Linked DNA regions of Schizosaccharomyces pombe. The protein of the gene in region 2 interacts with the protein of the main gene of each other region in a biochemical or structural test. Each region holds a gene or a part of one and is shown on either strand. Other genes may lie near its edges.

Region 1 (10,906 bases), on a different chromosome or scaffold from region 2:
GGATCATGTTGTTAACGTTAAAAGCACCAGAAACGTTTTTCAAAGAAGGGAAGGAAAGAGAGGTCAAATATTGACCATCAGAAACCACAACATCACCTTGAACGGACTCAATTCCATTAACAGTAAGGGTGGTGATGCCAGAGTTACCAGCATCAGAAATGTACAAATCACCATTCAATACAGTACAGCTGTTAAGCTCGTCAAGAGTACCTTGGGCGGAGATATTGTAAGGGCCGCTGGAGCAGTTGGAAGCAGCTTGTACGCGAGCTGCGGCGAAAAGAAGAGTGAGAGCGAATGATTTGAACAACATATTGACTTTAGACTATATAATGTAGAAATATGATTGGAAAAATATAACGAAAGATAGTTTTTAGGATGCAAAAAGGGAATATGAAGGTAAATTTGTTAAATCAAAAGAGAAAGAGGACAAATATGTAAAATGCGTTTATAAGGGGAAACGTAGTAATAATCAAAAAGACAGAGATTGACCACAAAAGATATGCAGAATAGCGGGTATTTATAAAAGGTATATGCTATATATTACGGGTAATATATATGATATGTTTTATAAATGAATGCGTGGGTAATGAATAAAGAAGTAAAAGAGTGTTTAAAACTCAAATGTAGTTCGCTGAGGATGAAGCGAGTTGCGGAAAAGACATCTATATATACCCGGAAAATGCAAAGAATTGTGACTTGTTAGATAAAAAGGGGGACAACGAGGTGCGCAATTTCGTTGCAATGTTTACTGTAAACAATGAGTAATTGTGTATTGCTGGTTGCTAGGCCACAACACCAACGAGGAGCTTGCGACCAAACTTTGAAGACCGTTTATTGGCTAAACTTGTACGTTTACGAGTAATTTGACTCTCGTTAAACACATTGGCATGACAACAAGGCGTTCGACTCTTTACAGATTGAGAATTGTAAACACTCAATGTAAACAATGCTGTATTTTCTGTCAAAACTTCATTTGTATTCCAGCTTTGGTTTTAAGGTTATTCATCGCATAAACATTTAAAGGGAGAGACACAAACCGCAGTGTTTGACCCTTAAAAAGTCACATTCACGGGCTTTTAAACGTGACATCACTTGTTTGTTTTAGTGAAAAATAACAGTCACCAGATCTCTGAAGAGGTAGGATTTTTTTATACTAGAAAAAAGCAGAAAATCATAAATATTATTTGGTATAGAAAATGCTTCTTCCAGCTATGCTAATCTTGTTTATTTTTCGCTCATATGCAACGGTATTTACGTTTCCGTAAATGGTTTCAGACATTTGTTTACTGACAATTACCGTTACCGCAGCAACGATCTGTCCATCTGCAGTGTAAACAGATTTATTTAGTCATGTAAACAAAGTATTTACCGTGCTGTAGAGAAGTAGAGGCGCAGTGGATATGCTTAGCAAGTTGAAGGAGAAAAGATTGCAAAGGTCATACCGGTATTCAACTGATTGACTAGACTGAACTGTACTGTACTTCAGAAGCATTTACCTGTTACTTTTTAACTTCTTGTAGTTTCGATGATTATTTTGGCCTTTGTGTATTTCATCTTTGTGTGACATCCAGTTATTACTTTAAAACTTAAGTAATTTATATTTCCCATTTTTGATGCACTGAGTGAGAAAAAAACTACTTGATTATTCAAATTTGTTCAATATTTTAAGAAATAGCAAACAACAGTCTACAAAATTATTTTGGCAATACAGTTTAATCAGAAATAATGTTGAAAGGCATAAATGATTTTTAAGTTGATTTTATGTTTATTTTTTTTGTGAATAAGCTATATTATCTTCCACTGTCTAGGATGATTTGCTTCAGAAAATTATTTAATCATTGTTGAAGGTTGAACAATTCTAGACTACTGTGCATGATTTAGGAATAGAATATGAATGTGGATATTTTAAATATTGATCTAGAATAAATGCCCTAATTGGAGAATATGTATTGTATTTAGAAGCTAGTACTCCAAGGTAATAAAATGTATGCTGAAACATAAAATGTTTTTTTGCTATACATGTGCACTGTAAGCTAGACTGTTGAATGTATATGAATATTAAGTCAGTAGAATGCTTGCATCATTTATTACACAAAGTTGAAATGATTAACTCCAGAGATTTCGGGTACTTGTTAAAAAGCATCTTAAGGTGATTAGTTCCGTCATGGTTTTTATAAATTCCTTTACCTTCTATCTCGAAGTAATCTTATAGGAGCGATTACACATCAACTCATATTAAAAATTTAACTTTGATTACTGTAACTTGCCTATTTTTTACATTCGTAGTGTAATCATAATTACCGTCCAAATATTCAAGTAAAAAGCGGCGTTGTAGTCTGATGGAGATGCCCGTTATACAAATTGAGTAAAGCACTCATTTAAGACTGTTTTGCTATTTGGAACCTTTTTATTTTTTTTTTATTTTTTTTATTTGTTCTCTTGTGTGACGTGAGTTAGTAGTTAATCGCTGCGATTATAAAAGAAATTGATTTTTAATACACAAAGTATATCTTTAATTTATCTGAGCCGCGCTTTTTTTTATTTATTTAAAATTTCGTATCCTTGCATACAGGCTATATTTATTTACTTATTCAATTTTATTTTGTTTGCTCTTTTGGCATTTGACGGGGATATATATTTTAGAGAATTGAGTATTTTTACAAAAAAAAAAAAGACAAAATTAATGACAGAGCGATGTAAATAAGTAAAAGTACATTAGCATTTTTTCCTCAAATTCAAGATCCGTAGGCTATGATCTCTTCATGTTGCAAAATGTTTGTAGACAGGCTCCAAACTTTTAAAAAACTACTTATTCCAAAACATGCTTGCCTCAACGAAGTATCGCTACCGTTCTCTTTCGTTTTACTAACAAGTTCAATTTGTTTCTTGTTTTTGTATTAGTCGATTTTTAATATGCACAGGCTTGCATAAAGATAGTTAATTATAAATTTCATTTGTTTGATTTTAAGCTTAGCATTTCATTCAGCTCGACTTCAAGCTGACAATCCCCAATGCAAATATCCTTGCGTCTCGTTAGGCAGGTTACATTTCCAATAGTTTGAACGTAGCTTCCGCGTTATTATACTTTGCCAGTTTTAGTGCATTGTATAGCTACACAGTATTTTGGTTTTAAACTTAGCGAGATATCTCAAAACCCCTTGGCATGCTCTTAGCACGGTACTTAGCTGTAGATCCTTTTAAAATTTGCTAACAGATGTAAACTTGAAAACCAGATTTTTCGGCTTAATATATTCCATCTATCATTTAAATCTCTTTGATGATAACTTTCAAAAATTGAAGGAAATCCGATGTTGACGATGAAATCACTGTAGATACGAATGTTTACTCAACGAAATTACCATACAATTTGATGCCGATCATTTTAAAGACATTTTTAGCAAAATATAAGCAGTCAAACTAGTAGAAATTTTTACAAAAAAAAGCCATATACGAGGTTTGTTTAGTACAAATGACTATACGATCGCAATAATATAGTAATCAAATGAGCCACAGGAGGCAGCAGCTGTGTATAATCGGAAATTAAAATCCTAGTAAAGATACACCCGATCTATAGAAATGATATTCTTGTGTTCATTATTTTTCAAGTTTTGTAAACTATTATTAATTTTGCATACTAGCAAAGACCATTTACAACAAATAGTGCAACCTACTTTTGAAAACTTTTGTAATCAGAAGACGAATATGCTGGACTAAAATAAACATTAACTGCATCTTGTTCTACGATTGTTATATTGAGATGGTTTATTTATTAATTGTATGGATAAAGCTTTTTTCAATCAGTCTTGAATTTCAGAGTCAATACAAGTTAAAAATAAATCAATTTTGGAATTAACTTCCCTTGTATATTTCACTTCCAAGGTATTTATATTTGGATGAAATACAATAATAAAAAATAGCTCTATTACTTCAGAAAAATTCGCTGAATGTGTTCAATTTGATATGCTAGAGAAGGTACAATATTATAGATAAATAGGGCTATTTACTAATTTTGGTTGAAACGTTTGTAGGAAACCGTCTTCAGTACTTCGATATTATATACAAAACTTATTCAATAGATGTCTAACGAGCACACATAATACAAATAATATCTAAGAAACTTGTATTGTCATCATGTAACATAGAATTAAAAGTTTACACATTTAAACAAACTGAGTAATTTAATGTAGCTAAATAGATATAGTGCTAAACACTCATGAAACAGCAGATGAATAATCATCCTTCATTTTTTGAGTACGCATTTTGCGATTGAAAGATCCATGATCCATTATTTATTATATTAAATACTTGTGTTTTAGCAAAATTTATTACATTACTCCAAAAATTATCTTATGTTTGAGTATTGCTTAGCGAAGCTGCAATTTTCAACCCCCTTTATCACACCGCTTAAACATCTCATCTTAAAACGAAGTAGCGGCTTTGCTCTATTTTACTCATCACAATGGAAGATGAAATGCAAATAGACAAGAAGGAGGTGGAAATTGAACAAAAACCTCCTCGATTTGAAATTAAAAAGGTTCGTCATTATTTTTATGATCATGTTCTTCATGTGTATCAAATTTGCCATAAAGCAAAGTAAACTGTGAAAATTAATACCCAAAGATATATTTGCTATTTTAAAATAAGCATACACTTAAGTACTAGTTTACTCTCTTTGCTTTTTTTATGAGTTCTTCTGATTCATATTGCTTACCTTCAATTTAGTGGAATGCTGTAGCATTATGGCAATGGGACATTGTTGTAGATAACTGTGCTATCTGCAGAAATCATATTATGGACTTATGTATTGAGTGTCAAGCTAACACCGATTCTGCTGCTGCTCAAGAGTGCACAGTGGCATGGGGAACTTGTAATGTAAGTTTTAATTCGATTTCTTTCGTATTCTTAGCTCAGGACTGTTTTTAACAAATACAAAAGCATGCATTTCACTTTCACTGCATCTCAAGATGGTTAAACACTAGGAATGTTTGTCCTTTGGACAATCGTGAATGGGAGTTCCAACGTTATGGTAGGGTATATTAAGACGAGCCTACTTTACTAACTTTATCTCAGGTCATTAATAACATTTATTAAGTACTTACTTTTTTGTTGGTAAAAATATTTCAATGGAGCAGAGCGTTTTATTAATGAAATGACATGAATCAATTAAAATTTCCTAAAATCATGACTACTTGTGGCTAGTTTAAGTTTCCATGTGACTTTGAATTGTTATTTATATTTATTTACTCCAATTACTCAGATAGTGGACGAATATATCAATTTATTTTATTGCTTGTCAAATAAAATTTCCTACAGACAGTTTTTAACTACACATCATATAAATTAAGACATTATATCACTACTTTGTATACACTTGAAGAATTAGAACATTACTTAAATCATCAAAAGAAATGGCATACTTCTAAAGTGCTATTGTTAAAATTGAATAGGCATACAGACATTATGCTGCATATCGCATGACAGAATGCGAATCATTGCTTTCGAGAAGAATGTCAGTGGTGAGATACAAAAGCTCAGTAGTGCACGGATTTTCTATACTTGCCAATCAATTCACAAATTCAGTTAACTTTTAAATAAGAACAAACAGCTTTATGAAAATTACCATCTGATGTTTAAAACCTTCAGTTTATCAGACTTGGTGTTTTCGTTAATAGTGGGTAGGCATAAAAAGATTCGTGGTACTTTGACTCTTTATTCGCCTAATACTAATGTTTCTGTCGCCTTCGTCACTTCCCACTATAGAGAGACCTACATTCATCTGACTTTTTAAGTGATACTAAAAAGTCGGATACTTTTTATATAAAGACTGTAAAAAGCATCCCTATGTGATTGAATGTGTATATATCCATCTCTTTAAAGGTTTGATAGGGTAGGGTCATTTCAGCATGAAAGACGGTTATAAAATTATTGGGTTTATCTCATCTGGAACTTATGGAAAGGTTTATAAAGCGGTTTCATCTAATTCGAATGATAAACGACTGTTTGCAATTAAAAAGTTCAAAGCTGAGTCAAAGCAAGTAAGCTCGAATGCTCAACAAACCGGCGTTTCTCAAAGTGCTATTCGTGAAATGATGCTGTGTAGAGAAATTCAGCATGAAAATATAGTTAGCTTGGTTCAAGTTTTACTCAAAGATGGCACAATTAGCATGGTTTTTGAATACGCCGAACACGATCTGTTGCAAATTATTCATTTCCATAGCCGATCTAGAACAAGACAAATTCCACCATCAATTTTAAAAAGTATTCTATGGCAGATCATTAATGGTGTAGCATACCTACATGAAAACTGGATTATGCATCGAGATTTGAAACCAGCAAACATAATGATTACAGCTACAGGCAAGGTAAAAATTGGGGACCTAGGGCTGGGAAGGCTCATTCGGGATCCCATATTACCATTTTATTCCAGCGATCGTGTAGTAGTTACTATTTGGTATCGTGCGCCAGAGCTACTTTTGGGAGCTCACGATTATACCCCAGCAATAGATGTTTGGGCAATTGGTTGTATTTATGGAGAAATGCTTGCTCTTTCTCCTCTTTTCAAAGGAGATGAAATAAAAATGGAAGATAAAAAAGTCGTTCCTTTTCAGAGTACTCAAATGCTACGCATAATGGAGTTACTAGGCACACCAACAGAAGAACGCTGGCCAGGTCTCAAAAATTATCCAGAGTACTATCAATTATCATCATTTGAAGTTCGTTACTGGAATAATTTGCTTCCTCAGTGGTATCAAACCGTAAAAAATCGGGATCCGCAAGGGTTAGATCTACTGATGAAAATGCTACAATACGATCCAAAATCACGCATAACTGCTAAGCAAGCTTTGGAACACGTTTTTTTTACTTCCGATAAATTATGGACCACTAGGTACGTGTTCTTCCTTTTCCTATTTATCATCGAAAGAAATAAGCTTTTACTAACTCACTTTTTAGCCCATTTTTAAATCAACCTATTCATTATCCAGAAAGGAGAATTTCAGAAGATGATTCCGAGGTTTCCTCCAAACGCGTACTATCTACTTCACTAAGGTCCGAAAGTAAACGTTTTAAAGGAAATTGATTGTTAATGCTTCCCTTAAGCTATTTAAAAGATTATCTGTAATTTTCAATTAAATATTTCGCCTTTTCTTGGACGTATATTTGATATTCTGTCTACGCAGGGCACCGTCGTTTTATTTAAGAATACCTAAAAAACTCACGATTATTTATTCATATTTTTGACCATTGAGATACTAAAATTTTTTTTCAACTATTCTAATATATGGTTCAAACCATACATTTTTGCTAGTACATCCACGTTGTGACTCATTATTCTTATTGTTTTAGAGGGAAGATTCCAACAGCCATGTTGGGTAAGGAATGGGAAAACACTAGCTTTGCAGAAATTGGTCTACTACATCAAGCGCCTAACGATAATGACTTAGAAAAATTTCAACATGCTCTAACGTTAATGAGTGAGGCTGATAACTCTAGCGATGTACTAACTTATGATTTTTTACTGGATTTTCTCTAACTTGCCATAGCTTTTAATACCACTTATTAGTGACTTTTTAATATGGTTTTATTATCAGAAAACACCTTTAAAATGGATTCCTTTTCTAGGTCACTTTTTTAATACCTGGCAATCTTGTAGTTTTCCTCCCCGCAGATATTTGCTAGCTAAAATACTTTCAGGGAGAATTTCAGAGGTATGTGTAAAGAGAAAAAGAAAGCAGTTTATTTTTTTTTGTTTCGATACGTCAATTTTCGAACGAAACTTTTGTGATTGAATTTTTTTTTTGCCATAACAAATGCAAGTTGTTTGTTGGTACTAACTATGCATAGTTGCTGAAAGTTTCTCCTTTTGAGCTTGCCGCTTCTGTAACTAGCCAGGATGTAGTCGAAGCTGATTCCCTAGTTGAAGAGAATGAGTTACAGGCTTGGCTAGAAAAACAAGAACTTGTACCGTCTTCCTCTAATTTTCTAAATTCTTTTTGGATTTCAGGGGGAGAGAGAGAGCTAACGGAAGAGGAACAGGTAAGATTATCCTTTTTTTTTCAATTTTCGAGGAATTGCTACTGACATTTCGCTTTAGAATTCTTTACTTCAAAGCAACACGACGTACACAAATTCTGATTTGCCTGCCTCCAAGCAGCTTGAATCTTTTATTTCGATGAACCTTTCTTATAGTAAAGTTTTTTTCCTTCATCTTCTACAGCACTCTGATTCCTCGTTTAACGATAAATTTCTCTTGCTTCTTGCTAATATTCCCGTTACAGTTTCAAATGTAGAAGTCTTACTTTATTTATTGCAACAAGAAGAAAGCCTTGCTCAATTTGATCTTAACGGCAAATCTTTTCTTTATCACATGCTTGTATCCTTGCATAACCAAGTTACCAATACATCACATTTAGAAAAGCAACGAATATCCACTGTTGCGACTTTATTTATATCCAAACTATTCGAAATACCTTCTTTATCTGAGTATTTATCGAGCACATTGTTTTTAGATCTTCAGGCCTTTTGCATCGTTGCTTTACCGCAATCAGCTAAGCTATTCCAAAAAGTAAAAGCATTAAAAAATAACCCTTGAGTTATTGAAAAGTTAGTATAACTCTATTATTTATTCGTATCTATTTAGAAAGCTTGAGTTACGATACTTCTAACATTAAATTTAACACACAAGTACTACATTTCCATAATATCCCAATATCCCAATTCTCTGCTAGAGTAAAATAATTAGAGTATTCCATTTTTTATGCCTAAACCCATTACCAAAAACTAAACTACTAATATTCACAAATTTTTTTATGAATCAATATCCGTAACCTTGAATAACTCGCAAGGTAAAGGATACATACGCTTATAAAGCGACATAGCTACAGTATCTTGTACTGTAATTTTACCATTAAAAGTTGCCTTGAAATAACCGTGGGTACCAAGTGGTTCCTTAATATAACCCGTTCGCCCTTGTTTAGTAAAAAGCTGAATAGGTTTGAACCAAATAACGTCTTCTGGATTAAAAAACATATATCTAATAGTGACCAATTTTTTGTGTACTTTGAAAGGATGACCTGTTAGAACAGCTCTTTTAGCAATGACAGAATTGGTATCACAATTTACATATGAGCCGGTAGCGGCAAGACGCAAAGAGTTATCCGATGACTTTTTGAACATTATTATAGGTACATTACCAAAGACGATAGGAGAAATAACAGATGCGATAACAGCTTGCTTAGGTGGAAGATATCTATGATATTTTTGTAAGTTGTTGGAAGCACCAGAAGCCGTGGGATCTGAATAAAGAGGTCGAACCATAAAACGGCGAGGTCCAATTTGAAGAAGAAGTTCTTCTTTGGATTCAATGGGCTCTTCATATTCAGAATGCTGCATTGCAGTAAATTGAGAAACAGTCAGTTTATTCTCATATTGTAGCAAAGAATAAAGCACTAAAAGATTCCAAGGCTTATTATAATACTCGAATATTTCAATCGGAACGTTCCTAAGTTCCACATAAACAGCCTTTCCAGGCTTAGCTTCACCAATAAAAGGCTGCTTTAAAAATTTATTCTTCAAATTCCGATAGTTTTCAAATTTAAACAACTGTCTCCATTCCCTTGGTTCATTAGGATCATACTCATCTGCATCCCATTGACTAGTATAAAGACTCCGTAGACCCCTATATTTTTTAAAGCGCTCCCTTGCTAATTCATTAGGTTGAAGCTCTACCTCATCGGGAAATTCAAGTTCTTCCTGTAATTCTTTTTGCTTCTTGCGGTATTCCTCGTATTGTCTAACTTCTTCTTCTTCCGATAAATCAACAAACATTTCCGATTTAGCATCATCGATTGTTTCTTCTTCGTCACTATCAATTTTCTCTTCAGCAACATGGTTAGAAATTTCTTGATTATCCTGATCTTCTATAATAACTTCAGTATCCTCAACATCACTATATTGATCGGATTCCTCATCTTCATCTGGAATCCAAGTAGCTTGGTACGTTGAGGTACCTTTTGGTACACGTTTCGCAACCGCAACTGGCTCTTCCTCATCGTCAAAATAGTAAAAATCATCCAGACGAACACCACGCGATGCTTCTTTTCCAACTTCAGAATCCATATCAGTATCCATATCATCTATTATAGGCCCCAAGGACTCTAATGAATCCTGTTCTTGAGTAGGACTACACAATTCCACTAACCCACCAGTCAAATTGGTATCTTCATCCATTGAAATCCCACGAGAATTTTGTATACCTTGAGGAGCTTCATAAATGCGATTGATAGCAAAGTCCCCGAAACCTTGGATATGTATTAAACGATTCGGGTCTAAACCCTTGCCACGCACAATTCCGCGAACTAAAAGATTTCCGTTACTATAAGAGATTTCTTGAGACAACAAGTAAGATCTTGAATCACGCCAATGTATTCCACGTGGATGTGATGTACACAATGCACGCATAACGTTCAAAGCATCCTGAGAAACATCCGCGGCAAACACACGTTCTTGGTCTGAGAAAAAAAAGTTCATAAAGCTCTGTAGCGACTTTTTAACTTCGTTCCGAGTCTTTAAACTATCCACCTCAGAAAGATCATGTACCATAGACAAAACACTGGAAATTCCTTGCCCTTGAGTTGTGCGAACAATGAGTTCGCCAAATTCATCAACTTCTTGGACAGCAGAAAGAACGAAAATAACATAATCCGAAACTTTACAAGCATCGATAAGAGAATAAAACTCCCGTTTAGGAAGCAGAAACAATAAATTCTGTTTAAACCGATCAATTGTTGTAGAATAACTAATCGAATCCTTGTCAAACTTGGGCAAACTAGCTTCAGGATCAATGCTACGCAGTAAATTGGTCAGAACGTTCCAAGAGTCAACATTATTGCAAAGGGGTACAATAGTG
Region 2 (3,600 bases):
GCCAATCGTGTGGATTGGGAACTGCAACATATTTCCAAAAAGGTGCAGGAGAAGACGTTGGATATGTAGAAGATCCAATAGGAGATCCAAATGCAGCCTTTTTTGTTTGAGAAGCACTATTAGCATCTAAAGCATAATCATGGGTGCTAATAATATCAGATAATGCAGCATGTGTAGGCGTTTTGTAGGTTTCCATTTGCTTTTCTTCTGCTGAGGTTTCAGCAGTCGAGGGTGAGCCCACATCTTTAGGAGTTGAAGGAGTTTGATCACGAGCAGATGTAGTGGATGAGGCTGGCTCCGCCGCCGGAATAGAGGTGTCCTTCATTTTCGGAAGGATGGGAATTGGTAATGATGGAGAACCCTCTCTCTTTTTTGCTAATAATGGCACAGGAGAGGAGGGCGAGCGTTTACGCGGTGTTTTTCTAGTCTTTGCAATAAACTCTTCGCGAAATTCAGGCACAATCGACCACTTCATTCCCTTCCCCTGCTCACCTGACTTCCGTGGAACCTTTCGAAATGCTTTGTTGAGAGATAAATTGTGACGGATAGAATTCTGCCATCCACTTTTTGTTGTGCGATAATATGGGTAATGTGTTGAAATCCATGAATATATGTTAGAAAGAGTCATCATGCATTCAGAAGAAGATAAAATTGCTTGTGCAATCATAACAGAATAACTGTATGGTGGTTTTTTATTATCACCATATTCAGCAGCATCGTTTACGGCTGCGGAAATTTCAGACTTTATAGCATCCTCCTTTATAGTGCTTTCGTCAGTTTGCTTTTGCTCAGCTGCATTGGGTAGTACGAACATCATTTGTAAACCCGCTACTTCGAGTATAGATCTAGTAGATAATTAGTAAGACGAAAAAGAAATAAAAAAAAATAATTGGCATAATTTCCTGCATTTATTTGAACTAGGACGGAAATAATTATTTTCTTGATAATTTGACAAATCCTTAACGCGCATTTATAAAATAACCAAACATTCGTTTAAAATTGACAAATAACACGAGAAAACCATAGAACTTATGAAAGAGTAAAGCATAAATTATGCGCTGCTGAAACCATCAATATTCCGTCCTGTCGCAAATCACGACGAACCAACACTATTCTAGTAAATGATTTTTAACATACCCACTTGTAAGCTTGACTGTTTCCCCATTCTTGAATAACTTGCCATCTACTTTAATGCCATTTCGACCGTAAACTGAGCAATTCCATGTTTGGTCATCCAAATCATATTCCACAACAGCGTGTTTTCGACTCACAACTTTAGAAGGACCAAAATTCATATCAATTACTTCTAAATCTTCATTTTTCCCCTTTGGTGAAGGATTTGCTGGTTCGCGACCAAGTATAATTCGAATTTTCTTAACATAATAAGTCCATGTACTTCCAGCGAATTTCGCATAAGCTTGTATTTCTCCAGAGTGTCTTTCCGCATTTTTACTGTTCGAATAATCATCGACCACTCTCATTTCGTGAGGTGGAACGGACAACTTCGCAATTTGGGATTCCAGGCGACCATTCAATACAATGTTACGATCTGTGTCTACATCCATTTGCTTTTTGTAATCTAACTGTTCTTTTCTCTCCTCGTCATCTGATATATGCTCAGACTTGCTTTCGAGTCTGCGAACAGTCATTTTTCCTTTCTACAGCAATTGTGCTGTTGGTGTGTGTTTATTTACACTCGTTTGTTGTTGTCAACATTCGTTTACCTTCCGTTGCCAGCGCTTCACGGTATAACTAATATTGACCATCATTTTAGATACATAGAAATTAAAATATACATTTTTCTAAATATTTGTACATTTTTTATTTTTGTCAACAATGCGTCTTTGTTATCGTTGCTATTTATATTTTTGTAAACAATCAAGATACCGGATCTTCGATATACTTTTTTAAATACTAAGCAGTTAAAAAAATCCTCTTAATATATTGGCGTAGGATTAACTTATAAAAAAAAAAAACTCAAACAATCATAACTCTGCAAGACTTGTAATAATTTTAGCTTTTCAGCACTCAGTGTTTTTTGCACATGTAATGGCGTCTAACGGTCGCGTGCATATCCTAGTAATTACCCTATTATTTAAAACGTGTCTACTGAAGATTTATTTTGAGAACTGTACAAGCTATTACATGAATACACTAAGAGTATTAATTGTGTTTTATGGAAATTCCGAATCATTATTTCGCTTTCAATCAACCGATTTTGTGTGGCTGCAATATTAACGCTCAACTGTTTACTCACGTTATTTTCCATATTTTTACTAACTACGCGATTCGCGAAGTCTCTGTAGGATACGTAATATTATTTGGTGAGTTCGTAGCGCACTATAATGTGTGGTACACAACAGAAAGTATTATGCAATATACAGTTACCGAACATAACTCAGGCACGGAGAGACTTTGATATTATAATAAATAATATGTGGCTTACATGAACAGACAAACTTGATCTTGAATGATCTTTATTTCCCATACTTTTTTCTTCAGTAATATTGAAAATAGTCAATAAACGGCTTGATGGTTCCAGCTTCAGGACTCATTGGAGAACTCACACGTGAAGATGTCAGGCTTATAACGATATTTAACATACCGCAACAAAAACATTTAGCATGGTATAATCTCATTGCTTCACCTACACATGTATGCTAACGTGAAGTAACGAGTAATTACTATTTAGCGGATGTATACGATCGCTGGCACACACTCTCGTAGGTTTAACCTGTCGCGTATATCATCCATAATCGCTTCGCAGCGATCACCATTTATTTATTTATTTACCTATCTAAAGCACCAAATTCCTTTAGTTTCAAAGCGTTAAATTTTGAATGATAAACTGCATTTTTGCTCACTTGCGTTAACTTTCGGTTGTAAAAACCGGTAACAACGATTCGATAAATACAAATTAAAAGACCTGTTCTCCCTCAAGTTTGAAGTTAGCAGGCTTCAACATAGTTTATTGATAGGCTGCTGAATGTCTTCCGGCGATGTATCTCGTAGACAGCGTGTTTCTAGAGCATGTGATGAATGTCACAGGAGAAAGATCAAATGTGATCAGAGAAGGGTAAGATGTCAATTTCTTTGCTCTATTTATGTTTTGCATAATTTTATTATTTGAGTTGGGAACTGAGAACTCACTTCACCCAGTTACCGCTTTCTCTGAAGTTGATTGTAGCTTGATTGATTTCAGTTCAGCTAGAGAGCATGCGGATAACCTTTGTCGTTAATTTATTATTTTTTTGGCTTTTATTGCTCTTTTTCTATCTTATTTGCATTAATTTGGATGAGCGATTAGAAATAAATATAAATTTCTGTTCTTTACTAACTTTTTCAGCCTTGCTCGAATTGCATAGCATATAACTATGGTAAGTGCCTACAATTTAGATGAGATTATTTTCTTCAAGTTTAGTCGCTTTAAAATTTATTTCAAGCCTCTATTATAATTGGATGGAGTTTTCTAACTTTGTTGAAGAATGTACTTATGGTCAACCTTTTAAGCGATTACGGCATGCTCCTGAGAAGTATATAGAATTTTTGGAGCTTCGATTGAAATATCTGAGGGGACTGGCTGAAGAAAGCGATCCAAAT

The links. Proteins that work in one complex are often made in the same cells at the same time.
Region 1: of the proteins of fkh2 (region 2) and srb10, one has a biochemical effect on the other in vitro, tested with the Schizosaccharomyces pombe proteins (one study listed by BioGRID).

What each region holds. Positions count from the first base shown.
Region 1 is NC_003424.3:1,570,951-1,581,856, forward strand, and holds srb10 (mediator complex cyclin-dependent protein kinase subunit Srb10), read left to right. Parts: upstream 1-5,756; 5' UTR 5,757-5,903; coding exon 5,904-6,886; exon of another isoform or gene 6,887-6,951; coding exon 6,952-7,078; downstream 7,079-10,906. Other genes in the region: extracellular leucine-rich repeat domain, receptor L domain-like Ecm33, read right to left, coding at 1-310; SCF complex, Cul4-RING and CLRC ubiquitin ligase ligase E3 subunit Rbx1, read left to right, coding at 4,460-4,534, 4,723-4,872, 4,936-5,026, 5,071-5,078; protein Not11, read left to right, coding at 7,364-7,495, 7,542-7,706, 7,843-8,034, 8,093-8,590; ribosome biogenesis protein Tsr1, read right to left, coding at 8,806-10,906. UniProt on the Schizosaccharomyces pombe protein: Catalytic component of the Cdk8 module/Srb8-11 module which is a regulatory module of the Mediator complex that regulates basal RNA polymerase II transcription.
Region 2 is NC_003423.3:4,241,014-4,244,613, forward strand, and holds the start of fkh2 (DNA-binding forkhead transcription factor Fkh2), read right to left. Parts: upstream 1,706-3,600; 5' UTR 1,650-1,705; coding exon 1,138-1,649; exon of another isoform or gene 846-1,137; coding exon 1-845. Other genes in the region: regulatory protein ntu1, read left to right, coding at 2,987-3,076, 3,347-3,377, 3,485-3,600. UniProt on the Schizosaccharomyces pombe protein: Required for promoter sequence element PCB-driven, M-phase-specific transcription. Acts as a transcriptional activator with a role in the regulation of mitosis. Binds, cooperatively with mcm1, the CLB cluster regulatory elements throughout the cell cycle.